Coturnix japonica: one gene and its partners. The main gene of each other region encodes a partner of the protein of the gene in region 2 in a complex. Links are inferred from orthologs where the notes say so. Each region holds a gene or a part of one and is shown on either strand. Other genes may lie near its edges.

Evidence for each region.
Region 1: SNRNP40 (region 2) and RNF113A share a complex: the UniProt entries of both Homo sapiens proteins name them as parts of the pre-catalytic and catalytic spliceosome complex. The link is inferred for Coturnix japonica from reciprocal best matches to the Homo sapiens genes SNRNP40 and RNF113A.
Region 3: SNRNP40 (region 2) and LSM6 share a complex: the UniProt entries of both Homo sapiens proteins name them as parts of the U4/U6-U5 tri-snRNP complex. The link is inferred for Coturnix japonica from reciprocal best matches to the Homo sapiens genes SNRNP40 and LSM6.
Region 4: SNRNP40 (region 2) and LSM4 share a complex: the UniProt entries of both Homo sapiens proteins name them as parts of the U4/U6-U5 tri-snRNP complex. The link is inferred for Coturnix japonica from reciprocal best matches to the Homo sapiens genes SNRNP40 and LSM4.
Region 5: SNRNP40 (region 2) and RBM48 share a complex: the UniProt entries of both Homo sapiens proteins name them as parts of the minor spliceosome. The link is inferred for Coturnix japonica from reciprocal best matches to the Homo sapiens genes SNRNP40 and RBM48.
Region 6: SNRNP40 (region 2) and SNIP1 share a complex: the UniProt entries of both Homo sapiens proteins name them as parts of the minor spliceosome. The link is inferred for Coturnix japonica from reciprocal best matches to the Homo sapiens genes SNRNP40 and SNIP1.
Region 7: SNRNP40 (region 2) and BUD13 share a complex: the UniProt entries of both Homo sapiens proteins name them as parts of the minor spliceosome. The link is inferred for Coturnix japonica from reciprocal best matches to the Homo sapiens genes SNRNP40 and BUD13.

The regions. Positions count from the first base shown.
Region 1 is NC_029542.1:2,229,020-2,233,238, forward strand, and holds the start of RNF113A (E3 ubiquitin-protein ligase RNF113A), read left to right. Parts: upstream 1-1,419; 5' UTR 1,420-1,483; coding exon 1,484-1,583; intron 1,584-1,799; coding exon 1,800-1,876; intron 1,877-1,972; coding exon 1,973-2,077; intron 2,078-2,957; coding exon 2,958-3,065; intron 3,066-3,341; coding exon 3,342-3,451; intron 3,452-3,665; coding exon 3,666-3,772; intron 3,773-4,181; coding exon 4,182-4,219. UniProt on the Homo sapiens protein: Required for pre-mRNA splicing as component of the spliceosome. As a component of the minor spliceosome, involved in the splicing of U12-type introns in pre-mRNAs. E3 ubiquitin-protein ligase that catalyzes the transfer of ubiquitin onto target proteins.
Region 2 is NC_029538.1:602,876-606,375, reverse strand, and holds part of SNRNP40 (U5 small nuclear ribonucleoprotein 40 kDa protein), read left to right. Parts: intron 1-26; coding exon 27-149; intron 150-1,118; coding exon 1,119-1,239; intron 1,240-1,965; coding exon 1,966-2,048; intron 2,049-2,467; coding exon 2,468-2,529; intron 2,530-3,500. UniProt on the Homo sapiens protein: Required for pre-mRNA splicing as component of the activated spliceosome. Component of the U5 small nuclear ribonucleoprotein (snRNP) complex and the U4/U6-U5 tri-snRNP complex, building blocks of the spliceosome.
Region 3 is NC_029519.1:27,572,606-27,576,634, forward strand, and holds the start of LSM6 (U6 snRNA-associated Sm-like protein LSm6), read left to right. Parts: upstream 1-1,229; 5' UTR 1,230-1,418; coding exon 1,419-1,590; intron 1,591-3,825; coding exon 3,826-3,939; intron 3,940-4,029. UniProt on the Homo sapiens protein: Plays a role in pre-mRNA splicing as component of the U4/U6-U5 tri-snRNP complex that is involved in spliceosome assembly, and as component of the precatalytic spliceosome (spliceosome B complex).
Region 4 is NC_029543.1:3,005,695-3,009,986, forward strand, and holds the start of LSM4 (U6 snRNA-associated Sm-like protein LSm4), read left to right. Parts: upstream 1-1,492; 5' UTR 1,493-1,607; coding exon 1,608-1,610; intron 1,611-1,734; coding exon 1,735-1,776; intron 1,777-1,904; coding exon 1,905-2,003; intron 2,004-4,151; coding exon 4,152-4,292. Other genes in the region: PGPEP1 (pyroglutamyl-peptidase 1), read right to left, coding at 1,185-1,218. UniProt on the Homo sapiens protein: Plays a role in pre-mRNA splicing as component of the U4/U6-U5 tri-snRNP complex that is involved in spliceosome assembly, and as component of the precatalytic spliceosome (spliceosome B complex).
Region 5 is NC_029517.1:20,668,994-20,673,030, forward strand, and holds the start of RBM48 (RNA-binding protein 48), read left to right. Parts: upstream 1-1,237; 5' UTR 1,238-1,439; coding exon 1,440-1,565; coding exon of another isoform or gene 1,566-1,655; exon of another isoform or gene 1,656-1,677; intron 1,678-1,735; exon of another isoform or gene 1,736-1,764; coding exon of another isoform or gene 1,765-1,878; intron 1,879-2,521; coding exon 2,522-2,712; intron 2,713-2,838; coding exon 2,839-2,984; intron 2,985-3,653; coding exon 3,654-4,037. Other genes in the region: PEX1 (peroxisome biogenesis factor 1), read right to left, coding at 1-472, 562-676, 917-1,000, 1,094-1,237, 1,527-1,655. UniProt on the Homo sapiens protein: As a component of the minor spliceosome, involved in the splicing of U12-type introns in pre-mRNAs.
Region 6 is NC_029538.1:3,338,324-3,342,617, reverse strand, and holds the start of SNIP1 (smad nuclear-interacting protein 1), read right to left. Parts: upstream 2,801-4,294; 5' UTR 2,777-2,800; coding exon 2,625-2,776; intron 2,543-2,624; coding exon 2,446-2,542; intron 1,590-2,445; coding exon 1,006-1,589; intron 345-1,005; coding exon 80-344; 3' UTR 1-79. Other genes in the region: DNALI1 (axonemal dynein light intermediate polypeptide 1), read left to right, coding at 2,931-3,011, 4,012-4,148, 4,231-4,294. UniProt on the Homo sapiens protein: Required for pre-mRNA splicing as component of the spliceosome. As a component of the minor spliceosome, involved in the splicing of U12-type introns in pre-mRNAs. Down-regulates NF-kappa-B signaling by competing with RELA for CREBBP/EP300 binding.
Region 7 is NC_029539.1:4,398,579-4,402,173, forward strand, and holds the end of BUD13 (BUD13 homolog), read right to left. Parts: intron 3,541-3,595; coding exon 3,447-3,540; intron 3,111-3,446; coding exon 3,005-3,110; intron 2,626-3,004; coding exon 2,487-2,625; intron 2,266-2,486; coding exon 2,081-2,265; intron 1,930-2,080; coding exon 1,848-1,929; intron 1,511-1,847; coding exon 1,417-1,510; 3' UTR 501-1,416; downstream 1-500. UniProt on the Homo sapiens protein: Involved in pre-mRNA splicing as component of the activated spliceosome. As a component of the minor spliceosome, involved in the splicing of U12-type introns in pre-mRNAs.

The DNA of each region.
Region 1 (4,219 bases), on a different chromosome or scaffold from region 2:
AAGAAAATGGATCTGTCCAACCCCACCACACCCCCAAGCACGGGATGCAGCACACAACAAAGAGGGAGCTCAGCACAGCTGGGGAACCCCAAAATGTTCCTACCCACCCCCCTCTAAACACCGCACGCCCAGACCCTATTCACTCCCCTCCCCGCTCAGCACCGGGTGCGGACCCCTCTCCATTTCCCAACAGAATCCCAACCCCAAAAGGCATCCAGAGCTCAGACAGCATCCCCCGAGTGCTCCCCCACCCTAAAGTCCCTCGACCGAGCCGCCTCCCGGAGCAGAAGTTCCCCCCTGGAGGATCACACAGACATTTTGGGGGGGGGGGTCCCCCACCTGCTGCGCAGCCCCATATGGCAGCACCGCTATCGGGGCTCCCCACCTGCAGCCCCCATTTCTCCCCATCATCTCCGAGCCCTCCCACCCCGCTTTGTTCCCCTCCCCCATTGTTCCCGACAAACCCAAACCCACCATACCCCCGGGTCCGCCGCCGAGCAGCACAAGGGCTGAGCCCTCCCCGTGCTGTCCGTTGCTCTGTCCGTCCGTATCTCCGTCGTTCGCTCCGTCCCTTCCTCGCTCCGTGCGCGCTCCCCCCGCAGCCCCTTTTATCGCGCGGCCGTGGCGGCGATTGGTTCCTTGCGCGGTGCGGATCCGAGCGCCGCTCCTTTGTGTGCGGCCGCCTCTCCCTCACCCGGCGGCCCCCGCTGCCCCCACCCCAAAACCGCATCGCCGGCCCCATCCCACCGACCCCCCTCCCCAACCCCCCCATACCCCCCCCATACCCCCNCCCCCCATACCCCCCCCATACCCCCACCCCGCATTCTGCCGCCCACCGTGGGTGCGATGCTGCGCTCGGGGTCGCGAAGCAGCGCTCGGGGTGCGGGTACCACCCAGCGAGCGGAACCGCGATGGTGGATGGGGTTCTGTAGGGGTTCTGCTGGGGTTTTGTTGGGGTTCTATTAGGGTACTGTTGAGGTTCTGCTGGGGTTCTATTGGGGTTCTGCTGGGGTTCTGTTGGGGTTCTGTAGGGATTCTGTTGGGATTCTGCTGGGGTTCTATTGGGTTCTGTAGGGGTTCTATTGGGTTCTGTTGGGTTCTATTGGGTTCTGTTGGGGTTCTGCTGGGGTTCTATAGGGTTCTGTTGGGGTTCTATTAGGGTTCTGTTGGGGTTCTGTTGGGGTTCTATAGGGGTTCTGTTGAGGTTCAGCTGGGGTTCTGCTGGGGTTCTGCTGGTGTTCTGTTGAGGTTCTGTTGAGGTTCTGCTGGGGTTCTGCTGGGGTTCTATTCGGGTTCTATTCGGGTTCTTTTGGGGTTCTATTCGGGTTCTATTGGTGTTCTGTTGGGGTTGCTATGGCGACTCGCAATTCACCCTCCACGCCTGCAGGTGGCGCTATGCGGCCCGAGTCCTCCCGTCCAGCAGGGGGCGCTGTGCGGCTCTGCGCCCATCTAGTGCCGCTCTGTCTTGAGGCGGCGGCTCAAGATGGCGGAGGGAGGCTCAGTGTGCGGCTTCGTGTTCAAGAAGCGGGGCCTGGCGGCGGGGAGGGGGCGGCGGAAGCGGCCCAGCAGCGACCAGGAGCAGGGTGAGGGGCTGACGGGGGTGGTATATCCCGATGCGGCCTGTTGTGGTGCACGAGGGAGGCGGAGGAAGGCCGTGGGTCGTACAGCCCCTCAGTGGGGCCCGGTTATTGAGCTGTGTGATTGAGGGGCGCTGCCTCCATCCCCGGAGCCCCGCGGTCAGGCCCATTAAACCCCATTAAACCCCATTAAACCCCATTAAACCCCATTAAACCCCGCAGGGAGCAGCGGCGATGAGGGCAGCACCGTGGTGAGGAAGGAGCGACGGAGGGACGCCCCCAACCCCATGATCCAGAAGGTGAGGTGCACACAGGGCGCTGTGCTGTTGTTGTGTGGGGCACATCCAGCCTTCACACCCGCTGTCTGTCTGTCTGTCTGTCTGTCCGCCCTTCAGACCAGGAGGTGCACAAAGGAGCGGCCCTCATACGCCCTGAGCAGCAGCGATGATGATGATCCGTCGAAGGAGATCGGAGTCACGTACAAATCAACAAGGTCGGCGGTAAGGACTGAGCGCAGATGAGCTTCTGGGGTGGGGTTAATCCCATACTCATATCCCATACTCTGCTTCTGTAAATGTGCCATCAGCTCTTCTCAGTTTTGATCTGTAGCTGTGTTTCCCTGTCCCTCCCCTCCTAACACACAAGCTGGGTTTATTCTCCTGATATTCTGCATTGTTCAACAAGGAGCTCAGAGCAGCTCTGCTGGGAGGAAAGGTTGAGGGAACTGGGCTTGTTTAGCTTGGAGAAGAGAAGGCTCCGGGGAGACCTCATTGTGGCCCTAATACTTGAAGGGCAGGGCAGCACGTTCTTAGGAGGAGGTGGAGCCTTTGGGGTTCCAGAAGCTTTTGGTGTGTAAGATGGGTTTGTTTTTAATTTGAGGCTGGTTGTAATTATTTGGTTTCTGTGCAAATGAAGAGCTGACAGAACCTCAGAGCATTTGTCTGTTCACTGTATTCACAAGGAACCAAGACTAGATCACTGAATTAAAACAGAGCACAGGCTGCCCACAGCTGGGTTAAAAGTTCAGATATAACATCCTGCCTGTGGGCTGGGTGGTCTCATGGCTGAAGCACTGAACATGAGAGACCTGAGATCAGTTTCCAGCTAAGACAAGATGAAGCTTGAAGGAGTAAAGTGGGGATTTCTGTGTCCTGACTCTGCAAACTAAAACCTGGGAGCAGTCAGTAATTAACATCCTGTCTTGCACAAGTACTAGGCTGGATGCTAAGAGAAGATGCTAATAGAAGTTAGAAACTGCTGGAGGGTGAAGCAGGCCATGCCCAGCACTTGTTCAGTGACTGGCCCTCCAGGTAGCCGAGGGGTTTCTGTCTCATGCAGCCTTTCTTTTTACTGTTATCACATATTGTTCTTGCTTTTCAGAAACCTGTTGGCCCAGAAGACATGGGGGCCACAGCAGTGTATGAACTGGACACAGAGAAGGATAAAGATGCCCAGGCCATCTTCGAACGCAGCCAGAAAATACAAGAGGTTGGTCAGCCTCACTTCTAAGAGTTCATGCTATGCAGGAGTGTGTGTGCTTACTCATCTCCTTTTGCATGCCAAGACCTTGAGTCTTTTCTTGCCTGCATATTTGAGAGGTTGGAAGTGTTGTCTATGTAAATGGGGGGACTTGCTGGTGTTATTGACTACTTGGTATTAAGGAAGGTATGGCCAGGAGGGGAGGTTGGTATGGGAGAGATAAAAGCTCGCTTGTGACATGAAGATCTTCTGACCCCTAATTGCCTTTTTTTTTTTCTCTTCTAGGAACTGAGAGGAAAAGAAGATGATAAAATTTACCGTGGTATTAACAATTACCAGAAATATGTGAAGCCCAAAGACACGTCAATGGGAAATGCCTCTTCAGGAATGGTCAGGTAGGTTGGGACGAGCCTGGGATGGGGGGGGTGGATCATAGAACCACAGAGAATTTCAGACATTGTCCCCAGGGGCACTTTTCTGGGCTGAAATGATGCTGTTTTTGGAGCTTGTTCCTATCTAATGAGTTTGGTGTCTGGTTCTGGCCGGGCCCGCAGGGGTTTTCTCCATTGCAGTGACACAGCTGGACTGAGCCTTCTCCCACCCTTTCAGAAAAGGACCCATCCGTGCTCCAGAGCACTTGAGGGCCACGGTGCGGTGGGATTACCAGCCAGACATCTGTAAGGACTACAAGGAAACAGGGTTCTGCGGCTTTGGAGGTGAGTGGGTCTTGCCTGCAGGGATCCAATCCAGATGGTGAGCCCAAGTTTTGTGGCATGAAATTGCACAGTTAGTAATTCATGGGCACCTGTTTGCAGAGTTAGTATTTCCTCACCTGAGGTTATGTAGGTGGTGGGATCTCCTTTTCCTTTTCCTATGTGGGTGAATGCTGGAGCTCTTGCTGTGGCATCCAGAACGTGATGCTTGTGGCCTGTTGATCCTGAGAGGGCAGGATGAGGCCCTCTCTTGGCCTCATCTCTCTTGGCCCTGCCCTGTAGCATGGGTGGGTACAGAAGTAATTGGGTTTCACCTTGTACTGAGCAAATCTCAGGCTGCCCCTGGATGAGGTGTCCTTTGAACAGCTGGGCAATGGGGGTAGATTGTTCATCCCTCTTTTGTGCTTTCCAGACAGCTGCAAATTCCTCCACGACCGCTCAGACTACAAA
Region 2 (3,500 bases):
AGTTTTACAACACAATGTCTTTTCAGCTGTGGGATATCAGGAAAAAAGCTGCTGTCCAGACATTTCAGAATACTTACCAAGTCTTGGCTGTAACCTTTAATGACACCAGTGATCAGATCATATCTGGGGGCATTGACAACGATATTAAGGTATGATGCTTGTGTCCTTGTGCTTCTTTCCAACCACCTTCACCTTTTCCATCCCATCAAAATTTGCTTTAGCAGCACGCAAAATGCCTTGGTCAAGGACAAATGTGGTTAATTTTACTGTCACGAGAACTGCACTGACCCACAGTGTCTTGATCTAAGGCCAGAAAACTCTGAGATAGTTGTTCCAGGGCTGTCTGCCATGTGACTGGCCATGCATCTTAGCGTCACACACTGCCACTGATATGGTATGCAAGCTCTTCTGGCAGCTGGTGCCCCTCACAGAGGCTCTAGAGCCATATATGTTGTACGCTAAAGAAAATTTGGTGACACATCCATGTTCTCTGACCCTTGCTTCAATAACTTACTTTGTCACCTGCTACTGTGGAAAGTTCTTATTTAAGAGCACGCTCAGTGTTCATTCACTTGGTAGCTGAGATTCTCCAGATAGCTTCACAGTTCAGTCAGCCTTGCTGTCTTTTTGGCCTCAGTCTCCAGTCTTACCTAGGCATGGGGAGCACATACTTGTCAGAGGGCCACCACTAAGCGTAGCACTGAAATGATTTCACTTCTAATTGCCCTTTGAATGGCAGTAACTCATAGAGAAAGAACAGCATGAAATTTTGAAGACTGGATAACTGCTCCTCTGTGCCATGGGTCAGTGGAATTTGGGAGCTGAGGGAGCTAGGCCAGATTGAAAGGAAATCCTGCGTACATCAGCTGCTGAAATTTAACTATTTTCTGCTGATGTGGTTGGACACGTTAGGTAAGAAATGGGGGGGAAAATTTGCCCTTTAGAGGACAACACATAACTTTATAGCCTTATATTTTAGCCATTCAGACCTTACCCAACTGCAAGTGGAAAGTTATTCATCAGATGGCTGATCAGTACTTGCATGAAATTGGAAAGAGCATTGCTAATAGTCTTGTCTGTCCATTCTAAGCCACAATTTTGTCTCTGCTGTCTGAAAGGTGTGGGACCTTCGCCAGAACAAGCTCACGTACACGATGAGAGGACATGCAGACTCAGTGACAGGCCTCAGTTTGAGTTCAGAAGGTTCTTACCTGCTCTCTAACGCAATGGATAACACAGGTATGTCCTGCCAAATGTGACAGCACAGCTGTGCAGACAACTGTCAGCCTCTGCCTTTGAAGAGCTGTGTGTGGTATTTCAGAAGGAGCAGCTGAAATTGGTCAATGTGCTAAAATAGGAGAGTCAGGTGGGCGGAATGCAGGCAGGGTCTGCAGAGAAACCTTCAGTTCTCTTTGTTTGAACCGTGACAGTTACATCCTTTGTAGAGAAGGAGCAGCTGTATCAGAAAGGTTTGTCACGTCTCCCAAAGGGCAATGAGGACATGGGCTGTGGCACAAGTTATTTGCACAGGCAGTTGAACATAATCTTGGTCTGGCTTTTGTCAGAGTGGTTCAGCTGCTTCCCTGCAGCAGGGAATGACAGTGCTGTTTCCAGACTGCTCATCTCCTGCGTATGGGTGCTCAGTGAAGCTGATCTGATTAGAAGTATGATCATGAAGTGTATTAGAATAAAGCAAATGCTCATGTGAGGAGACAGTAGCTCATTTGTGTAGTAGTTGTTTTGGAATTTTCCCCTCCTGTTGGGAGTGGTCTTAATGTAATTATAAATTACTGCATTTTACCTTTCATATCACAGCTTCCTGCAGCGGGAGGCTGTTGGTATCCTTTAGCTAAGGAAACGGGCATGAAAAGAACAAGGAATGCAACCAGATCTTTGATCATTAGCAGCTGACCTTGCCCCTGTAGTTCTGGTATCTCCTGCTAATTACTGTGTGCTCTGTTGCAGTTCGCATCTGGGATGTGCGACCGTTTGCCCCAAAAGAGAGATGTGTGAAGATCTTCCAGGGGAATGTGCATAATTTTGAAAAGGTGAGTGTATTACAGACCTAAACACTCATTTATACAGCGTTGCCACATGAACTTAAAGAACAGTTTACAGGGAAGTTAAAGTTTTAACCAGTGAGACTTTAATAAGGACTCGAAGAAACATTAACGCACAAAGTGAGATTCCAATTAAAGCTGTAGTAACAAAATTTCTTTGTTCACTTTGGCTATAATTAGCTGTAAATGAAGTATTTTCTACACATGTTGTATAAAATAACAAGGCACTGGATGTTTCCAACAATAAAACAAAATCTTTAATTACTTGATGAGAATCTTTTGAAGAGGGATCATTAAAGTAGTGCTCTTGATACTTAAAGTCTCATAGTGATTTTACTTGAACTGGAAGGGAAAAGCTAAATCTTCTTCGGAAATGGAACTGTGCCTATTGTTTTGTTTTGTCTTAGAATCTTCTGAGGTGCTCCTGGTCTCCAGATGGGAGTAAGATAGCAGGGGGATCTGCTGACAGGTGAGTTATCACCGTGTTTCTCTGTTACTGTCAATGCCAAACCATTTTTGCAATCACTGCTGAAATGAGCCTGGATAGTCTCTAAAATGAATATGAAGAGCCAGAGTTGTGCATGGAGGTGTGAAGACCCAAACAACCCCCTGTGGTAATCTGTGAGCATTGTCTGCAGCAATGGTAGCAGAGATGTGTTCATATTGCCTTTGCATCAGCGGAGGAGCACTATATGGTTGTAAAATCCTTATTACTGTTGTCAGAAACCTTCTAGAGAGCTCCATTTCTGCTTGTGTTCAGTCACTGCATCCAACAGATGGACAAGCAGATGACGGGAGCGTAGCTGGCAGCATGCGAGGTCTCTTGCAGTCATAGCAGCAGATTCTTGTGAGACTTCTCCAAAGGCAAAGATTCTGGCAGATTGCTGCAGAGTGCTGCATTTTGTGCTGATAATGACCACCAGAATCAGTCAAAGCTAGCAGGGAGCACCAGTGGCGTTTCGAGGATCGTTTGTGATCCTTACTTAATTAACAGGTGTGAGGAAATTAAGTTCTGACTAAATTAGCACATATCTGACTTATTTAAATGAGAGCTTCTGTAGACTGGATAACCAAAGGGTAAACTGGGCAGAGGGAGGAGGGCAGCAGAGGGTCCCTGCCAGACACTGAAGGTCGCCACGAAGGATACCAACCTGCTGGAGCAGATCCAGGTGCACTCTCAGTGACATGGAGACAGGAATTCCTGCAGGCCGGAGTCCAAGGCATGGAACAGCAGTAATCAGCAAATTAATGAGCTTCTGATAGACGACAGGGAGAGCTTTAGCTCATACTGTGCAGATATAGTGGGGCCAGCTGTCACAGCTGGCAGCTGAGACATGACCCTTCTTTCCAGTCCCACTGGGCTGCAGCAGCAGTGCATGAGGTGATGAATACCTGTTCCTTCATGGCTGGTCCCAGTGTGGGCAGCCTGACACGGTGAAG
Region 3 (4,029 bases), on a different chromosome or scaffold from region 2:
CACCATTTATGTTTGAGGTGAAGAAGCTATAATGGAAACTTTGTGAGCTGCGAAGGACTGAAAACTCCCATTGTAATTTATGACCTTTCATCTGAGGCCAAATGTAAAGGCAATCACAATTGTTCTATATCTCAAGGCTGGCACATAGCAGATGTATGAAGTTTGGAAGTGTTAGACATAAACTTTTATTACCAAATTATAAATAATTTCTACCACTTACAATGTTCACCTTTCAAGTTCATCTTGATTAAAACACACGGGCAGAATGTCACTGATTTCAATGAGTTTTATACAGCTGGAAAAATGCTCTCTGCTTTGTGGAACGATAAAGCAATGCCATATTTTAAAGAATGTACTGATAGCAACGCATGCAAAGTTTTAGACCCAAATCCTTTTTCATCTAGATGACTGAAGCAAAAAGAAGAACCATTAAACAGTGGGTCTCATTTTTTCACACTCGAAGCTTTGAAATCTGCGAGGAGTCTACAGAATGGATTACATAATTCCTTTGAAAACCACCTACCTGAGCACTGGGATTGTGTGACTCAGGAAACAACACATTCTTTAGGTTGTGTATTTACAGTTGTGATTACATTATATAATCTTTGTGAATAAGCAAGAGAGAAATTTTCTTTCCCAATGCAAAACCCACTACACCAACATGCTCAGCAATGTGTCCTATTGCACAGAGGTTCATTTACTCAGTACAGCATGGAAGACTGTTTCAAGGCTTATACAGAAAACCAGGACAAATTTGCTAAGGTGTGGGTTCATGGCTCAGCCTCAAGCCATAGAAGTGGCGAGCTAAGGATACAACGTTGTCCATCTCTATTTCAGTCTTTCGGAATACATATGTTTGTAAATTTAGGACTAAAAAGGAAATTAGAAGGATTTTGTTGACTGGCATCAATGAACCAAGTATCCATAGACAGAAACGATAAAAATAGACAGAAACTATAAAGATAAGTTTAAAACGGACACAGATGAGGTTTTGCAGAGGTCAGGCCACAGCTGGGTGCAGAAGCAGAAAGCTGCTCCCCGTCCTTTGGCAGCAGGTGATCCCATCCAGCTCCTCCCTGCAGCGATAGAGGCGGCGCTACTCAGTGCAGCCACAACCCGCCCCGCTTTAGCGAGCGCGCCCGTCCCGCCGTGTCCCTGCCGCCGCGCCGTACCGCCCGCCGCTGATTGGCCGCGAACGCGGGGCCGGGCGCGCGTAGCAGCGGGTGAGTGTGAGCGGCGTTGTGTCTCGGCCCGGCCGCAATGGGGCACCGGGCGGCGGGGTGCGGGCCGGGCTGTGCCTCGGTGCGGGGAGCGGTGCGGAGGGACCTTTAAGCCCATCCACTTCCAGCCCCCTGCTGTAGGCAGGGACGCCTCCCTCTAAACCGGGTTGTTCGCATCCCCATCCAGCCTGGCCTTCAATGCCTGCAGGGTGGGATGTGCTGCTTATCCATATATCGGCTTTCACATCTATTCCCAGCGTACCGACACAAATCAAGATGAGCCTACGGAAGCAAACTCCCAGTGACTTCCTAAAGCAGATCATTGGAAGGCCTGTTGTTGTAAAGTTAAATTCTGGAGTCGATTATCGAGGTAAGATTCCACCTTGTCTGTGCAGTGAGATGTCCTGCTCCCTTTAGGCTGAGCCTCTCCAATAGCTCAGCCTCTACAATTATTTCTTTATCTCAGTCTTCGTTAAGTTTGGATGCTCTTATCATGCCTCTCCCATGAGGAGACAGGTGTTTTATTCTGGGATGATTTAAACGTTATGATCATGCCAGACATCGCTACTTCAGGTAGGTTTAATTCAGTTGGCTCATCTTAGTGCTCGTTTGTCCTTTGACAAGGAATCTTGGTGTTTGGACACCAGCCCAATGTCATACAGGAGTTATTTTCCTTTCTTTGTTTCCCTCCATTCTCCCTAACTCCCTCCTGGTGCTTACATTTGAGAAATGCACACTTCATTTCTCTACAGAAATTCGATCACTTGTATAAACCAAACATCAGGAAACCCAGCATCTCAGGCTTTTGTTGCAGATCTCTTCAGATTCTGCCTGTAGGCTACCCTTCTCATTTTATGTTTGCACCTCCACCCTCCCAGCCACTGTGAGCACAGCAGCTGCCTGGTTCTCACGTTGGTGTGCAGCTGTAAAATGTCTTGGTTCACTGCCAAGCGCTGTACTCATCTAAGAAGTCCTGGCAAAGTGCACGTGTAATCAGTTGTACAGATGGATATGAATGTAAAAACATTGCTGCATACTGATAAAAAACAGGCAAAATATGAGCCAGGGTGGGCAGCAACAGTATGTGATGCTATTAGTATTCTGGGAGTAAATACAAAGAAAAGAAAGACAACAATGAAAGAAATGAAGATGCACCCTGGCCAGTTGAGTGATAGCTTAAAAAAAAACCCCACAGCCCAACTTCAGCTTGGGGCAAACATTTGTTTTCTGTGGCATCTTGAAGCACTCAGGATTACTGGTGTGAAAATGTTGTCACTGACTTGGCTTGGAAGGTTTTGGTGTATTTAAAACACTTTGTGGCCAGACAGAATTTCCCCATTTATGTGGAAACAGGGATGAAAAACACATACAGGAAAATACCAATCCTCAAGCCATTACAAGTTGGCAAGAAAACTTGAATTCCTAATTATTTAATGGAGGATATTACAGTAACGCTTCTGGAAAATGAGAACATACCCTGGAGGAAGATTCTCAGACTGGAGTTCTCCCCCTCCTCAAATACAGCCAATGTACTGCATGTCTTCAGTTTTAATAGCAGGTAAATTAGATTCTTGTCCATTTTGGTAGTTGTATTTTTAATAGTGGTGTCTGTGTGCAAGGAGGAAGTCAGGAAACACACACAAACAAGATGGAGATGAGCAGCTTGTTAGAAGTTGTTTTATGTATGCAATTAGCAAATTGCATTGTGTACGTATTGCATTTTCTGAGCAGTTCTTCACATCCGTTAATCCCCACATTTAGTTCACTATGTAAATGTTCTGTTTGTACATCACTTAAATTTGGCTGAAGATTTCAGTGTCATATGAAAACCCTTTCCCCGTTGAAGATGTAGAATTGATTTACACAGAAATCACGCTGGCAGCCCATGTTATTCTGTCTATAAGAATGAAAATCACAGAATCACAGAATTGTAGGGGTTGGAAGGGACCTGTAGAGATCATCGAGTCCAACCCCCTGCCAAAGCAGGCTCCCTACACCACGTCACACAGGTAGGCGTCCAGGCGGGTCTTGAATATCTCCAGAGAAGGAGACTCCACAAGCTCCGTGGGCAGCCTGTTCCAGTGCTCTGTCACCCTCACCGTAAACAAATTCTTGTGCACATCCGTGCAGAACTTCCTGTGCTCCAGTTTCTGGAAAATAAATCAGAAAAATGTGCGTGGTGTCCTGTATTAGAAGGGTTATTTCTCACATATATCCTTGATGAGCTTTGGTCAAAACTCAGCTTGTAGCCTTGTTCTTAGGCTGCCCAGTTACACTTTATGTCACAGGTTCTTCTCAGGAGTTGGGCATAAAACAAAAGTAAAAAGCAACAACTAAACTTTCAGAATGGAAGATGTTCTCTTTCAAAGTCACGTCTCAGTGAGTTCTCCCCACCCAGTCATGTACAGGACCTGGAGTTCCCTACTCTCAGTTTAGTTCCTTTAATGCTCTCTGGGCTGCTGACTGACTCACCTGACCACATTTGGAAGTTTAGTTTGCTATGAAGATACAATTTTTTTCCTTGTACTGTTCAAATGCAAAGCCGTTTTGTTTAGTTCAGAAATAAGCTAAAGTTGATTCACTTTTAAACTATCACTCTCTTTAGGTGTCCTGGCTTGCCTGGATGGCTATATGAATATAGCTCTGGAACAGACAGAAGAATACGTAAATGGACAGTTAAAGAACAAGTATGGGGATGCATTTATCCGAGGAAATAATGGTAACTCCTCCTTCTTGTGCTGTATGTACTTTTTACAGCGCTTCTTTTCAGTGCCTGTGCTTTTCCTCAGACCTGGATGAGTTCTGTTCA
Region 4 (4,292 bases), on a different chromosome or scaffold from region 2:
TGTAACAGCCCACAAACACAGACAAGTCTCCATCCAGCATTTCTCTGCTCACACCTTCACCAAAATCCCTTCTGCCTTAATAGGAACCAAACAAAGCACTGCTGACCCACCTGCACCGAGCACCAAAGGTTACACAACGCTATAAAAACACTTACGTCCCCAAATCTGCATTTCCTAATGAGTAACTCGGAGTTAACTAGTAACCCATCACATCTTTCCCTGAGCGAGCACACAAAGGTTGGGCATTTATCTGGGCGTGGGATCGATATGCTTTAATTTCAGATGGCAGAGCTACCCTGTGAGCCTAATGCAATCAGAAGGCACGCACTGCATCTAAGTCAGGACCACAAATATTACATGACACACTAATGGAAACCTCCCATGTGCTGCCAGCAGAAGGGGAGGGCTGAGGTTACACCGCACACAACAGCAACAGGGCTTTGTACAGCTCAATGGGATCTCAGTATCAACCTGAGCCTCCAAGCGGAACCAGCATCAATATCTCCCCATAATAACCCTCCTGAAGGCTCCCACAGGATCCTAATGCACTTGTTGTTTCTCCATATATAAGCTATAGATGTGAGAGCACCAAACAGGTGTTTCATTGGGATGGTTTCAATATGAATCACACCAGCTTTCCAGGTACCCCAATGTAACCAAAACCTCTCGTTCTGAACCCAACTGAGCTGCCCCCTCACTCATCCTCCACACCGACCCCCAGATCGATTCCTTGCATATCAGATGAGCAACTTTATGGGTAGCACCAAACCCAGCCTCAGCCACCCCACACCCAGCACAGGGTCCTGCCGGGCACACAGCACTGAGCCCACCCTGCAGACCTTCATGGGGTTGCAATGGGGTCTCAGTGCGACCATCAGGGGCAGATCCAGCACCATCAGCTCTGAATGTTTGAAGCAGAGACCACCCCCCAACCCCCCCGGGGCAAGAGATGGGACAAATACAGCGGGGACCGGGGGGGGGGGGTATAACCGGAGGGGTCTGTGACACGCCGCAGCCCCGTCGCGCCCCTCCCAATCCCCGTACACCCCCACCAGGACCCCGACACCCCCATGTGCCCCTCACCGCCCCCTCCCAATCCCGCATCCCCCCCGTTGAGATAATGGAATCAGAGCCCACCCTGCCGTCCCCTCCCCACCCCCCGGTCTCGTTCCATCCGCCCGTACCCGTTACCACCACCGCCCTCCGCGGTTTCTCCATCTCCGCTCCCGCACCGCACTGAGCGACCGGCCCCGCACGGTCATAGAGCGCGCTCCGCCCCGACGCCCAGAGCGGCCCCGCGCGGCCATAGAATACGCGCCGCCCCGAGGACCAGAGCGGCCCCGCGCGACCATAGAGTGCGCGCCGCCTCGCTGCCTAGAGCGCCTCCTGAGCGCCGCTCCGTGCCGCTTCCCGCTCGGCGTTTCAATTTACGGCACTGTCGTGACGCTGTGCACCGCCAACCTCGGCGATGCTTTACGGCCGAGGCGGGTCCTGCACGCTGATTGGCTCCGCGAGGACCGCGCCGAGCTCTGATTGGTCCCGTGTGGGGCCGGGGGTGGTTTGAGCGGCAGCGCCCGGCGCGGCGGCGGCTCCGCGGTTCCGGCACGATGGTGAGTGCGGGAATGGGCCGGGCCGGGCCGGTTCGGTTGTCCCGGTACTCCCTGAGCCCCTACATGGGGATCCGAGGCGGTCCCGGTTCCCGGTTGTTGAGGCCTTTCTCTCTTTCCCCCGCAGCTGCCCCTGTCGTTGCTGAAGACGGCGCAGAACCACCCTATGGTGAGTCCCGGCCCACTCCCGCTGCGGCCTATGGGCCCGGTGCCGCCCCGTCGGGTCCCGTTGGGTCCCCGTGCCGCCCCGTCGGTCCCGGTTCCTTCATGCTGACCCCCCCCCTTTGCTTCTTCCAGCTGGTGGAGCTGAAGAACGGCGAGACGTACAACGGGCACCTGGTGAGCTGCGACAACTGGATGAACATCAACCTGCGGGAGGTCATCTGCACCTCACGGGTAACCAGCTCAATGCCAGGACCCCCATTGCGCCCATAGACCCCCTACTTTGAACAGCATCAAAGCAGATCAGGAATGAGTTGTCCCCATTGCGCCCATAGACCCCCCCCATTGCGCCCATAGACCCCCCATTGCGCCCATAGACCCCACATTGCTATCAGCCCCCAGCCCTGCAGCTGAGTGGGACTCGCAGAGATCCTCACCCTTCTGTGTGTGTTGCTTTTGCTTTGAATGTGAATGTAACGCAGTTATGAGGTGTAAGAAACGAATGAGCCCATTGACAGCAGGGTGAAGGTGCTCAGTGTGAAGGGCTGGTGACAGGTCCTGTCCCATTGCCCGCTCCATGCAGCCCCATCGAGCACAGTGCTGCCTTTCATCATCACCTGCCTCACGCCCTGTAACTCCACATCAAAAGTTATTAGGGCCTCTTGTTTAACCGGGTTGTGCCTCGTCTGCTACTTTTGCCCATGGCCAAAGTGCTCCGAGAAGAGATTGGGATCTGTGCTTTGAGCTCTGACCTCAGCCTCAAGTGTCTGGTCTTGTCCCTGGCAGCCTGTGCCTGGCCACGTTCCTGCTGCTGCTGCTGCTCTCTGTGCCTGGGAACATCACGGGTCTGTGGGGGAGGCTGTCAGGGAAACCCTTCTTCTTCAGGAAGGGTTTCTGTGCCTGTTGGACCCACAGCAGGAAGGTATTGGCCAATAGTGCTGGGGCACGGAGATGTGATGTGTGTACTTAAACAAAGCAAAGGTTTAAGAAGGATCATAACAGCAGAGCAGTGAGCCCTAAAAATCTGGATCCACAGATTGTTGGGGCAGATAAACAGATAAGTTCAATGGGAAGGGGTGGCAAGTGGCAAAGCCTTACTAGTGCTTGCAGAACAAGGGATGCCGGCCTTTAATACTGCTTCCTCATTAAGCAGCTTTGTGTTGCTGTGGGCAGAGCACTTCAGCATTTATACCCACCGAGTGGTCTGCAGTTCACTCCCCACCCCTAAATACCCCCTGGGTGCTACTGGGGGGGTATATATGGAAGCCTTCCTGGTGGCACGGTGGGGATCAGCCACTAGATGGCATGGAGCTGCGGCAGCTGTTTACATGGGGAGCTGGAACGAGGAAGCCGGGGACCTGGCTCCATCCCTTCCTGCATAGAGAGCCAAAGTGCAGCCGGGCGGATCCAGGCAGGGTGGGGTTTGCTGGGTGCCTGTTTGAAGAAGGCTGCTTGTCTCACACACACGGAACTTGCCTGTGCATGCTGCATTGCCCCAAATAACACCGGAGCAGAGGAGGAGGGGGGTACAACTTGATTCTGGAGAGGTGAAACGAGGCATTCTGGTTTCACCCACTCCTCTGGGATGTTGTGGACACTCTGTCCATGTGTGATAGTTGTGAGGAGCCTGTGTTCAGCCAAGCCCTGCAGCAGAGCACGGCCGTGCGCACGAGGTTCCATCCCTCCTCCCGCTTACATCAGTTGTTGTTCAACTTTCACATGCAGTTCCTATTCCCACAGCCACAGGAGCTGAAGCCCTGATGGGCTGTGTCCTAGCAAAGCCCTGAAACTGCCTTAAACAAAACACAGAGGCAGCTGCTCCGTAACTTGGCACCCGAAGGTTTCTTTGAACGTGATCTGTAAGCTCTTATTTTCCACAGCCGCGGTTCCTGTGCGCTGCTGGGCTCACCCCACACCCAGCTGGATGCTCCTCGCTGCTCAATCCACACCACAAAGGGGTTCAGTTTGTAGGTGACTCTGGTTGGGGCTTTATGTGCTGGAACTGCCCCGTGTTGCAGCAGCTGTGTTGAACTTACCACATTTCCCTCTCCAGTCCCACTTTCGATTCTCTTCTTGTATGAGAAGCAAAGGGAAGGTGCTGTTTCCTCTTCTTCCTTCACTTTCTGTGAGAGTCAAAGGCGGTTGTGAACGGGCTGAAACTGCAGTGGCTCATGGCTGAACGCCCCCTGACTCCCCAGCAGGTTGTAGGGCTGCGTGTTTTAAAGGGAAAACAGGAATTTCACAGCTAATTATGGGTTGTACATTCAGAATAGACTATTACATCTGTCGCACGCTTCAGAAGTGATGGAGATATTCAAGTGTCAAAAAGCAACTTAAGTGCACGTGGTTTTGTTCTCAGCTTAACACGTTGCTTCCCAATAGGATGGTGACAAGTTCTGGAGGATGCCAGAGTGTTACATCCGTGGCAGCACAATTAAATACCTTCGGATCCCCGATGAGATAATTGACATGGTGAAAGAAGAGGTGGTCTCCAAAGGCAGAGGCCGTGGTGGGATGCAACAG
Region 5 (4,037 bases), on a different chromosome or scaffold from region 2:
ATGGCACCGTGTTTCAGAAATGCATGAACAGCTGATGCGTTCTGTACGCTGGGAGGCTGGGACTGGCATACTCTAAAAATGGAATCCATGTGAATTAAGTTCAGCAGCTTGTCTTTGAAGGCGCTCATTTCATCCTTATCACACAGAGTCTTTTGTTTCTGTTCAGCTGTACGAGAGAAAATGCTCCCTATGAAATTCCACATATTTGGGAGAACACTTGAGCCAAACGTCACATTTGCATCAGCCTTACTCTGTTCAGGGACTCCTGGGTTTAAGTGAGGTTGACTGGCAAAAGGCTCCTTTACAGTTACGTCTTGCTCCATGCTATTCTTCACAAAGCTCTTGAGTAAGATGTCACCTTCTGTAGAAGGCATGTCTACGACGTTTTCCTCAAGCTCACGCGCTTTGGGGCAGATCAGAAGCTCCGTGCAAGGTTCTAATCTCCCATAGGGGGCTGCTGGCATAAGTGTACCTGAGTATGGATAAATCAGATGAATGAATGCATCCACTCTTGCAAAACAGCTTACTCAAGGCACCAGCAAAGCATTCACTGCTGCTTACCAATTCTGATGTAAACGTGAGTGTGGTGTTCAACCCAAACAGGAAAGATGGCTTTGGGGAATACGATTCGGATCTGGTCCAGAAGATGCTTTTCAAGAGAGGAAGCGTGCAGTTCCTGGGAAAGTGTGGTATCATTGTAAGCTACACACTTGTACAACCTTTAAAATGTGTTTGAACATAGAAGATTCACATCTTTTTCTAATACACCATTTGAAACATAAAATACAATGAAAACCCACAAGACTTAGCATTTGCTTAGGAGCAGAAAAGAACGGGGGATTGCGACAAAAGCTTGTATCAACATTCTCTGTCATTTGCATGAAAATGATGTGAACAGTGGGACAGGTTTTCTTACCAGTATTTCCCAATCATCTGCTGAGAGCGGTTCCACTTCTACTTGCTGACAGGAGGAGACGTGTGAACAGGGCTCCACGAACACCTGATAGAAGCAACATTATTTCTGAATAATTTAACTCCTTAAACACATAAAACCTCTACTCAGAAACTCAAAAAAGGGACCTGCATTTCAAACCTGTTCTCCATCTGCAATGCCAAGCTTCTCTGCTAAATGCCTGTTCATCTCTGCGATATTTTCACCCCGCTGACCTCGATGCCTCATTTCCATCCAGCTCAGGTAGATGGGCTCATCACGGCAGGATACTTTGACAGCTTGGCCCTGTGATTATCAGGCAGATGAAACGAATTACTATCAAATCATACTCAGAAATACTCAGACCCATCTGGGTCCAGGGGCGAGGGGTCCCGGCCCGTTCGGAGGATGCACAGTCACCACAGCGACAGTGCGGGGGGCGGCTGGTTGCCCTGCGCTGTCGCTGTGGTGACTGTGCGTCCTCTCGAGGAGGGCTCTGAGCACCGCCATGATGACGGGATACGATGGGGGGAGGAAGGAGAACCTCTCTCCCACAATCCCCTCCGAACGGGCCGCCCCCATCTCGTCCCCGTACCTGCTGCAGGCGGAGGTGCGAGGCCAGCACGGCGGGCAGGTGAAGGAAGCAGTCCCGGGTCCCGCTCAGCACCACCGTCACCGCGGCGACTCCAGCGGCCCCTCCGCCGGGGTTACCGCTGCCCCACATGCCGCCAGCCGGGTGGGCCGGGCTGTAGTTGCTCGTTCCGCCCGGCTTCTCGGCAGCGCCCACTTCCTTCCCGGAAGAGCCGACCGGAGCCGCGGTGGCGGCCGGGAAGATGGCGGCGGGCGGTGCTGGCGGGCCGGGGGAGGCGTGTAGGCACCACCAGCAGCTGGGAGCATGCGGGTCCAGGGCCAAGTACCGCGAGGGGCGGCGACCCAGGGCCGTCAAGGTGCGGGGTGAGGGCGGGTGGGCTGCTGGAGACTTGTTTAGTCCGCAGGTGTCGGTGCTCTGACATCTGGAGAAGCATCAGCTCCAGCTGATGTTCTGTGATGTGTTCATCCCTGCTTGAGTTCATCCCTGCCCGCGGTGGCTCCACACAGCGGGCAGCACGAACGCTTTGAGTTGTTGTTTTCGCAGTGAGGTAAACGTGGGCATTTTAGAGCATTGAACAGCATCTCCCCTATGAGGAGAGACTTAGGGAAGTGGGTCTGTTTAGCCTTGAGAAAAGAAGGCTGAGAGGGGACTTGATCCAGGTTTATAAATACCTGAGGTGGGGAAGCCATAGTGGTGAGGCTGGTCTCTTTTCAGTAGTGCGTGGGGACAGGACTAGGGGTAATGGGATGAAACTACAGCATAGGAAGTTCTGCATTAATGTGTGGAAGAACTTCTTTACAGTGAGGGTGACGGAGCACTGGAACAGGCTGCCCAGGGAGGTGGTGGAGTCTCCTTCTCTGGAGATATTGAAGACCCGCCTGGACGCCTACCTGTGTGACATGGTGTAGGGAGCCTGCTTTGGCAGGGGGTTGGACTGATGATCTCTAGAGGTCCCTTCCAACCCCTACAATTCTGTGATTGTCCTGTGCTTCTTTCAGGTGTACACCATCAACTTGGAATCGCGTTATTTACTAATCCAGGGAGTTCCTGCGCTGGGCGTCATGAAGGAGTTAGTGGAGCAGTTTGCCTTGTACGGAGCCATAGAAGAGTACCATGCACTTGATGAATATCCCGCAGAGCAGTTCACTGAAGTTTATCTGATAAAATTCCAGAATCTGCAATGTGCCAGGTATTATACACAGCACTATCTGCCTTTTGTTGTTTTAATCCTTCACGGCCCCTTTATGTATGATCTACATCATACAGAGTTGAAGTAAAACCCTCAGCTCTGCTAATGCCATTTAGTTTCCTTCAGGGTGGCCAAGAAGAAGATGGATGAGCGCAGTTTCTTTGGGAGTTTGCTGCACGTGTGCTACGCTCCAGAATTTGAAACAGTCCAAGAAACCAGGGAGAAGCTGCAGGACAGAAGGAAGTATATTGCAAAAGCAACAAATCAAAGAGGTTTGTAGTTAAATCTCATGTCCAGTTTTAATTCCAGTGGTTGGTACGTCTTGGTAAAGCCAAAAGCATCCATTGATGAAAATATACTGTGTTTAGCTGTTTTACATTAGGACATTTCTCAGTTATTCCTAGAGATGGACCTTTCAGAAAGCAACGTTTTAGTTAACATGCACTTTAAAGCTTTTAAACCTCATTGTTTCCTTCATTTCTTTTCAAAACGTTACCTGAAATTTTAAGTACTGCCAGGAAACTGAGGATCAGTTTGTTCCCCTTGTTACAGTTCTTTCAGGCATACCCAAAAAGAGAGATTAGTAAGAGAGCCCCCTCCCTGCCCCTTATTTCCTGCCTGTCATTTGGGTCAGTAAGGAACACGAGGAATGGATTGGGCTGACAGGCAGCTTTGCTGCTGAGTTCCCAGGCAGCGCTGAAGGCTGGACAAGCTGTAAAATAAGTACAATGCCAGGCACAGGCTTCTCCTTTCCTATGCTTATGTACTTGGATATCATTATCCACTGCAGGTGCTGCTTAAGCAGAATCACAGGAAGGTGACTGGGAATGAAGTATTGCTGGTATTATTTCTGTCACTGTATTGAACACTTTATGTATTAGAACTAACAGTGGCATAAAATAATGAAGCTGTTTTCCTTTTCTTTTCTTGTTGTTTTAAAGACTGCTTTCTGTTGAAGAAAACAGAGAGGCCTCGGAGGACCAAGTCTGATTCTCAGTGGAGTACCCCAGGATCACATGCAGCCACTCACTGGGATCCATCCTGCTTTCCAGTTCCTCATGGGTTGTCCCAAAACATGGAATATCCTTCTGGCAATCACAGTCAGGACCTTTTGGCTTTTCCCCACTGCGACAACCCCAGTGCTGAAACCTCTGGGAACTCCAGTCAAAGCTCATCCCTAACTCAGAAGGCGCATCCAGGAGGATGTGCTGCACCAGTGCCTTTAATTCAGCAAAGAACAGTTCCAGCTGATAACGGCATTGACAGGTTTATGCCTCGTACAACTCACCTGCAGGAACGTAAGAGGAAGAGAGAAGAGGGTAACA
Region 6 (4,294 bases), about 2.7 Mb from region 2:
ACATCTCCATCCCAATGCATGTTTTATTGTAAAAGATTCCTCTCCCCTGCTCCCCCATCCCCAATTGCCTTCATGTCTGTTAACTATCGGACTCTTCCTCCTTCTCCTCTTCCTCATCATCGTCCTTTGCGTTGGCCTCTGATTTATCAGATGATTCATGGAGAAGGACGTACTCCCTGCTGCTGAAGCCAAACTTCAATACATCCTTTTCTTTCAGTTCGTAGTAACGTTGAGGCTCAATCCTCTGGTTGTTTAGAAAAGTACCATTGCCAGAACCAAGATCAATGATATACGGCTTTACCCTGCGGCCAACTGTGCCATCAGCGCGTGTGTGCTCCACAAGCCTAGAAAACAAAAACAACCCATCAAGTCAATGATAACACATGGATTTTTCAACACATCAGCCCCACTGTTGTAAATACTTAACCATACTTCAAAGATCTGAGCAAGTACAATGAGAATAATTAGACAGGGCACGGAAATACTCAAGATTCTGACAGACTGCTTCACCCCTTAAAGTTATGATCATATAACATAGTAAATCCTGAAGCAGAACAGATGGTTGTTCCTTAAGAGAGCAGCTCTGCCTCCTGAAGCACACAACCCTGCTGTTTATAAAGGAGATCGGCAGCCTTTGTTGGGAAGGAACAAATGAAAAACCCTCCTTTAAACGTTCTTTATTGCCAATCCCACCTGCTAATAACTCCAATTCAGATATACAGGCAGTTCTGTATTTCATCCTGTTGTGTTGTGTTTCTTACTAAAAGTCTAGATATGGTTAAACCAAAAGGAATTATATATATGTTAAGAGTCACGAGGCTGCTTATGGTTAAACAAAAAGGAATTACATATATGTTACATCCATACCTAAATTCCACCTATCTAAAACCATTGAGCAAACATGCATTTTCTAATCTGTGCACATCCAATACGTTCTTTGATTCCCTTTGCACGCAAGCGACCAAATAATCCCCACCTACCAGAGGGATACAGAGCGATACTGACCGGTATTGGAACACAGCGTGTTGCTTTGAGCAGGAGGGATGATCAATGGGGATATCTGCTATCCTGCGGTGCCTGCCCAGGAGATAAGCACTCTGCCTATGAATGTACATGACAGGCAGGAACTCATCGTTTTTAAATGGATAGAGACGCCATCGTTTCTTTGGAATCCGAGCTTCTGGGGGCTCACTGTATTTAATCACAACGCCTCGGAAAGTGTTGGTATCCTCCAGAAGGGCACCAGACAGTTCAAAGCTTGGTTTTTCTTTGTTTACAGCTTTATCTTTTGGTTTGTTATCAGATTGTTTGTGTTCTGGATTCTGCTCAGCACCGCTCCCCTCGTTGTTCTGTCGATGCTCTCGTCTTCTTTCGTTATAGAACTCCCTCTCTGCTTGTTGCTCACGGATGTTCTGAACATCTCTTTCTCTCTCATGGCCTCGACCTCCAGGTCTTTCCTCCTTTTTCCTCCTGTCTGAGTGATCTCTGTGCCTGTCTCTGTCACCGCTTCTATCTCGTCTGTGTTCTTGCTCTGACGTGTGTCTCTGCTTTCTCTCTTCATTTCCTCTGTGAGGATGATCGTCTCGTTCCTGAGGAAGAAGACAGAAAACACATGAAAAACACAGACTGTAACATGGTACGTGTATATCTAGATTTATTTATTTCCTTCCAAAGTGAATTCCCACAACTTGGGCCCAACAATGCAAGGCTGACAGAGAGCAATGCATCATAACATCAGCCTTCAGGGTCAGCCTGCAGGCTGGGCTCACTTAAAGGCACAAATACTCATTTTCTTACAGGAATAACAGGGGCTGGGCTCACTAAAAGGTACAAACACTCAGTTCTTTCCAGGAAAACACGAAGCAGAGAGCAAGGAGATGTTACACTGTAAGACTCTCTCTTCCTTAAGAGTTATTCTAGAGGGATCAGGGGGCTGGAGCACCTCCCCTATGAGGACAGGCTGAGGGAGTTGGGTTTGTTCAGCCTAGAGAAGAGAAGGTTGCGGGGTGACCTCATTGCAGCCTTTCAATACCTGAAGGGAACTTACTCCCAGGAGGGGAGTAAACTCTTGGAAAGGGCTGACAATAGCAGGACACGGGGAAATGGTTTTAAGTTAAAAGAGGGAAGATTTGGGTTGGATGTTAGGGGGAAGTTCTTCACTAGGAGAGTGGTTAGGCCCTGAAACAGGCTGCACAGGGAGGTTGTGGATGCCCCGTCCTTGGAGGTGTTCAAGGCCAGGTTGGACGGGGCCATGGGCAACATGATCTATGGGGTGTCTTTGGGGATCTATGGGTTGTCTGTGGGGCTCTATGGGGTCTGCATGGGGTCTGTATGGGGTTCAGTGGGTCTCTATGGGGCTCTATGGGGTGTCTATGGGATCTCTGTGGGGATCTGTGGGGTCTCTATGGGGATCTGTGGGGCCTGGCCTCTCCCAACGCCATTTACCTGCTTTACCCTCACACCTCCATGGTGCGGACTCCTGCTCCTCCTCCCCCGCGGTGATTTGCTCCTCCGGCCGGATTTACTCTTCCTTTTAGGCGACCTTTAAATCAAGTACACAAGAAATGCACAGAACCTCAGGGTTACGATACAGGGCCGTAATAAGGCCCTATGAGGCCTCCTACCTGCTGCTCCTGCCCCGTCGCTCCTCAATGGGGGGGGATTGGCTCCCATAAGCCGAACGGGACCCGCAGCTCCGTGGGCTGCGCTTCTCGGCCTTCACCGCCATCTCCCCCCTCCTTCTCTCCCTCCTCCTCCTCTCACTCTCAGCCTCCATCTTGCTACCGACTCCCCCCACAACCGGAATTACGTTTTCACATCCGTGTTACCTCTCTCTCAACCACCCGGAACTACATCTTTACCTAACGCTCATGCGCCTTTAGAACAAACAACGGAGCGGCGTTTATAACCATAGCGACCGAGGAGCCGCCATGATCCCACCGCCCGATTCGCTGCTGCGTTATAACCCGCCCATGCTGGTGAGTCGCCGTACTGAGAAGCGATCACCAGAGGTGAGTGAATATGAACCGATATTATGGCCCATGAAGGCCAAAGGAATCCTATATTGTATCAAAACCAGTGTTACTAGCAGCAACAGGGAGGTAATTGTCCCCCTGTGTTCAGTTTTGGGCACCTCACTGCAAGAAAGACATTGAGAATACATTCAGAAAAGGGTTATGAAGCTGGTGAGGGGTCTGGAGCATAATGGGGACTTATAAGAAGAAGCTGAGGGAGATGGGGTTGTTCAGCCTGAAGAAGAGGCTCAGGGGAGACCTTATAGCCCTCTATAACTCCCTTAGTTAGAAGTTAGAAGGGAGGTTGTAGTGAGCCTCTAATCCATGATAGAAGTAGAGGGAATGGTTTTAAGCTGTGTCAGGGGAGAGTCACGCTGGATATTAGGAAGTATTGCTTCTCAGGAAGGGTAGTCAGGCATTATAATGCACTGCCCAAAGAGGTGGTGGAGTCACTGACCATGGGAGTGTTCAAGAAACATCTGGATGTTGTGTTGATGAATATGATTTAGCTGGGAAGTATTGGGAATGGTTGGACTAGATGATCTTCTAGGTCACAGAATGACCCGGGTTGGAAGGGACCTCAAGGATCATGTAGTTCCAACCCCCCTGCCAAGCAGGGCCACCAAACATACACATTTACTAGATCAGGTTGCCCAGGAGACCCCATAGAGACCCCATAGATCCCCCATAGATCCCCATAGATCCCCATAGAGACCCCATAGATCCTCATAGAGACCCCATAGACCCCCATAGAGACCCCATAGATCCCCATAGAGACCCCATAGATCAGGTTGCCCATGGCCCCGTCCAACCTGGCCTTGTACACCTCCAAGGACGGGGCATCCACAACCTCCCTGGGCAGCCTGTTCCAGGGCCTCACCACTCTCCTAGTGAAGTCTTTTCCAACCTTGATAATTCTGTGTTTCTGTGATTCTGAATGGGACGGGGGGAGCCCTCACACCTCACCCATCCTGCTCACACCGCTTTCTCCCTTCAGGCCTCACCGTTGAAGGGAACCCCACAGGCCTCCCCGCCATCAGGCCCTGTCCCTCCGTCCCGACCTCGCACTGCTGCCGCCTCCGCCGCCTCCACGAAGGAACCTCAGGAGATCCTGAACGCCATCCTACCGCCGCGGTGAGCCGGGGAGGGGGGAACAACAAGAGCCTTAACTCAGGACCGCCCCGCCGAGCTCCATCGCTGCTGCTTTCCGGTGCAGGTCATGGGAGGAGGATAACCGGCTGTGGGTGCAGGAGGTGTCCAGTGTTCCCAGCACCCGGCTG
Region 7 (3,595 bases), on a different chromosome or scaffold from region 2:
GCTTCACTTCATCTGGATGCTCATCAATAAACTGCCACCTGAAGCTCAGATAACAGACCAAACAAACAGCTTAAGACAATAAAGAAAGAGATCCATGCTCTCTAAACAAAAGGGTCCGGTGGAGCAGCTTGGGAGCTTCTTCTTGCAGCGGTGGCGTTCAGTTGTGAGGTACAGTGGTGACACTCATTGGTAGAGCATCTCAGGCTCACAACCTTCCGATGCTGTTGCTATGTAACCCTTCCATACAATGTCTGTTACCAACCCGTTGTTTTTAGTTAGAAATGCTTTCTTGCAATCAGGGATGGAGCGCAGCGCTCTGCTTGGCCTCCAGCTGCAAGCTGGACAAATCTAATCACAAGAGAGAGGTTATGCTTCGTGCTGAAGCGAGCCCCCAGGCAGCAGCGCTAAGAGCCATCAGCAAGGCTGTCCAGAGAGAAAGCTGTAGGGACTAATCCATGACCATTAGCTACTCTGAAGAAAATAATGGCCAAGGGAAACAGTTTAAATGGCCTCTGCGTGTTTATTGCCACAAGAAATTGACCCCCAAGGAGCTGCTGGAGCTTCTGAAGACTTTGCTGTCAAATATAACATGGCGTGTTGTTCATTCAGCCATTTCTAGTAGAGAACTAGAGTTATATGTACAGCAAGCAGCTTCTTGCCACATACTGACCCACCTGGCACAGCTCCCATAAGGGCTACAGGAAGCTCTGCTGTGCTAACTTCACTGCAAGCCAAAGACTCCAGGAACCAGAAGGGTTAAGAGTTACACAACATTGAACAAGCAGAAGCTCTCTGGGCTCATTAGCAAGGACATGGAGAACATGGGGCAGACATAACATGAGCCCACAGGTAAATCAGCTCACAGTATTAAGTTGTTTCAGAGCAAAAAACACCCTCTGGAAGAACTCAGCCATAGCTGAAACCACAACCGTGTGCTGCAATAGGCCAACACACCAGATAGGATTAACCCTCCATGACTTAAATCCCAGCATGCTTCCACCATGAAATAAACCTGAGATTTAGGACATCTGAAGACCTGTCAACTGCCTTCAGAGGACAAAGCATTTGGCATAGAACATTTCAACACAGTTTCTACAGTTTATTAGTAAAGAAATAAGTGGGTCAGACACCAGTGTCTGCAGCACCTCATGAAGGAACACCAGGGAGCAGAAGTGTTCCTCTGTGGGCAGCAGCCACTCCAGTTTTTGGCACTGGTCCTTTCTGGCTGGCAGGAAAATCCTTTTCCAGCAGCTCTCCTCTAAACACAGCCTTGCTTCCAAGAAGACAATCCACTGGGATACTGAATGCCAAGAACAGTGCTTGGTCCAGGCAGAGGAGCCGTTACTTTTGGCTCTGGCAGTGGTAGCAGGCAGATCTCAATTCAGTCGTGCTGTTTCACATGGTTATTTCTTCTATCTACATGTCTTCAATGCTCCACTTGTATGCCAGCTCCTGAACTGCCTTCTTATTGGCCATCCTGGCAAAGAACTGCTGCTCAAATCCGTTGGACCTACAAAATAACACCAACAAGACCATGGGCTACCGTGCACATCTACTAAAGCCACAAAGCTTTTAAATGACATCACATGTTTGCCACTACTTTTGCATCAACACCTCCAGCTGAGTTTCCACTCTGAGCTGTGGCAAACAGCAGGCAGTGCCACAACAGATCAGAACAGAACCTGGCTCCCTTTTGTCCCAGACAAGCATGTCCCTACCAGCCATTCATAACCATGAGAAGTGTTAAGGTTGAATAAGTTGCATCTCACTCACTGTAAGCTCTCTGAGGCAAAAGCTCATTTAGTTTTACTACCATTCAATGACATCAGTGTATCAGGAATACCTACCTGTCCACCCCATCCCAGCGATACCCAGGCCATATATTAAATCTGTTGAGAGGAGGTGCTGGTCCACTGTACCTAGGTTTCTCTAGAGACAAAAACAGCAATACAGACATTGGTTACTACAATGCAATCTTCAGGACTCAGCTGCCACAGCAACCTCACACTGTTCACTGAACAGCAGCTGCATTTCTATGCTCCTTGGGCATTAAAACCTGCACCAGCACAGCTTTCCATACCTTTCTTCTCCTTGTTCTCTTTGGCTTTTCTTTTTTTGATGAACTCAGCCATGGGGTCTCCTTCTCTCTCTTGTTCTCTCAGCATTCGATCCAGATCTTCATCGTCAATGTAACGGGCCAATGGTTTCTGCATTTCTTTTATTGCATCTTCCACATTCTGCTGCTGCTGCCTTTCCTGTGCTAATCTAAAAACACATACAAAGTACCACCTCAAAACTAAGGAATAATTTACTGCCATCTGCTCAAATTGTAGTATTGATCAGAATCTACTGTGTGTAGCATCCCTGAGAAGCACCCAGCAACAGACAGGGTAATCCCACACAAAATAACCTGGTCCCAGGCACAAAACTCATTGCCAACCCCCAGTCTGCAACCTGTAAAGTGACATGTCACCAAGACACCTTACCCCTTTCCCCATCTGGCATATTGCTCATCATGCAACAACTTTGCTTCATCTTTCTGCTTCTGCTCAAGACGTTCCTGCACAAGGTCCCTCTTGCGGCCTGACTTGTCGCGGAAGATGGTTTCCGTGTGTCGGGATTCCTCTAGGGATAACAGATATCCTGAGTCACTCACGTGGGAATATTTCAGTTTCCAAACCACTCCATAGCTCATGCAATGAGCTATAGGTGTAACAGCCTGCTCCTTCAGATCAGGAATAGCAGATGGGGCAGATGAGACACAAAAGCCTCACAATTGTCTCATTGGCACCTCTTTGAAATCACCACTCATAAATTTCTATTTTAGAGACCCAGTGGCTTTTACCTGTGTATATTCATCAGCATGCCTGGATGCCAGCCAACACAGACACTCTCCATCAACACCCTTACTACCAGCATTTTAAGACATGCCCTGATACAGCATTAACAGGCAGCCAAAAGCAGACTAAAAGCTGATGTCTGTGCACTGGTTTCAGACTTTTACCTTCCAAGTGCTTGCTACTTCTCTCCTGCTTCCTGAGCTCCTGCTGCTCTTTCCGCAGCACGTCAGCTGACACCAAACCAGCTTTGACCCCAGACATCATCTTGGCCTGCAAATCAAACAAGAATCACATTTACTGCTGGCTGAGAGCTGCCCAGTGACTCACAGGTATGATAAGGGGAAGTTACACGAGAGGCAGCTCTGTTACAAAGCCACTTTGCTGCCATCTTTGCAAACAGCTTCCACAGACTTCCAGAAATACAGAGTGCTCATGCAGAGCTCATCTTCCATCTACCTCACACGTGGTCTTATGGCAAACTGACAGTGTGGCACAGCTGCATTTACAAGCTATATATCTGCTCTACCATCTGTAAGCCATCACACTGTTAATGATTGCTATCAGAGGAAGCAATCTTCAGCACAGACGGAAAGACAAACCCCTTACCTTCTTGGGAGATCCCTTCTCATCTGGGTAGCGATGATCTGAGAGATTGGAGGGACTCCTTGAACCACGCTGACCCTTTCCAGAAGGCAGAGCCCTTTGAGGATGAGAGAAATTGGAGCATGAAGACTTGCTCTAAACACATTTAAGAG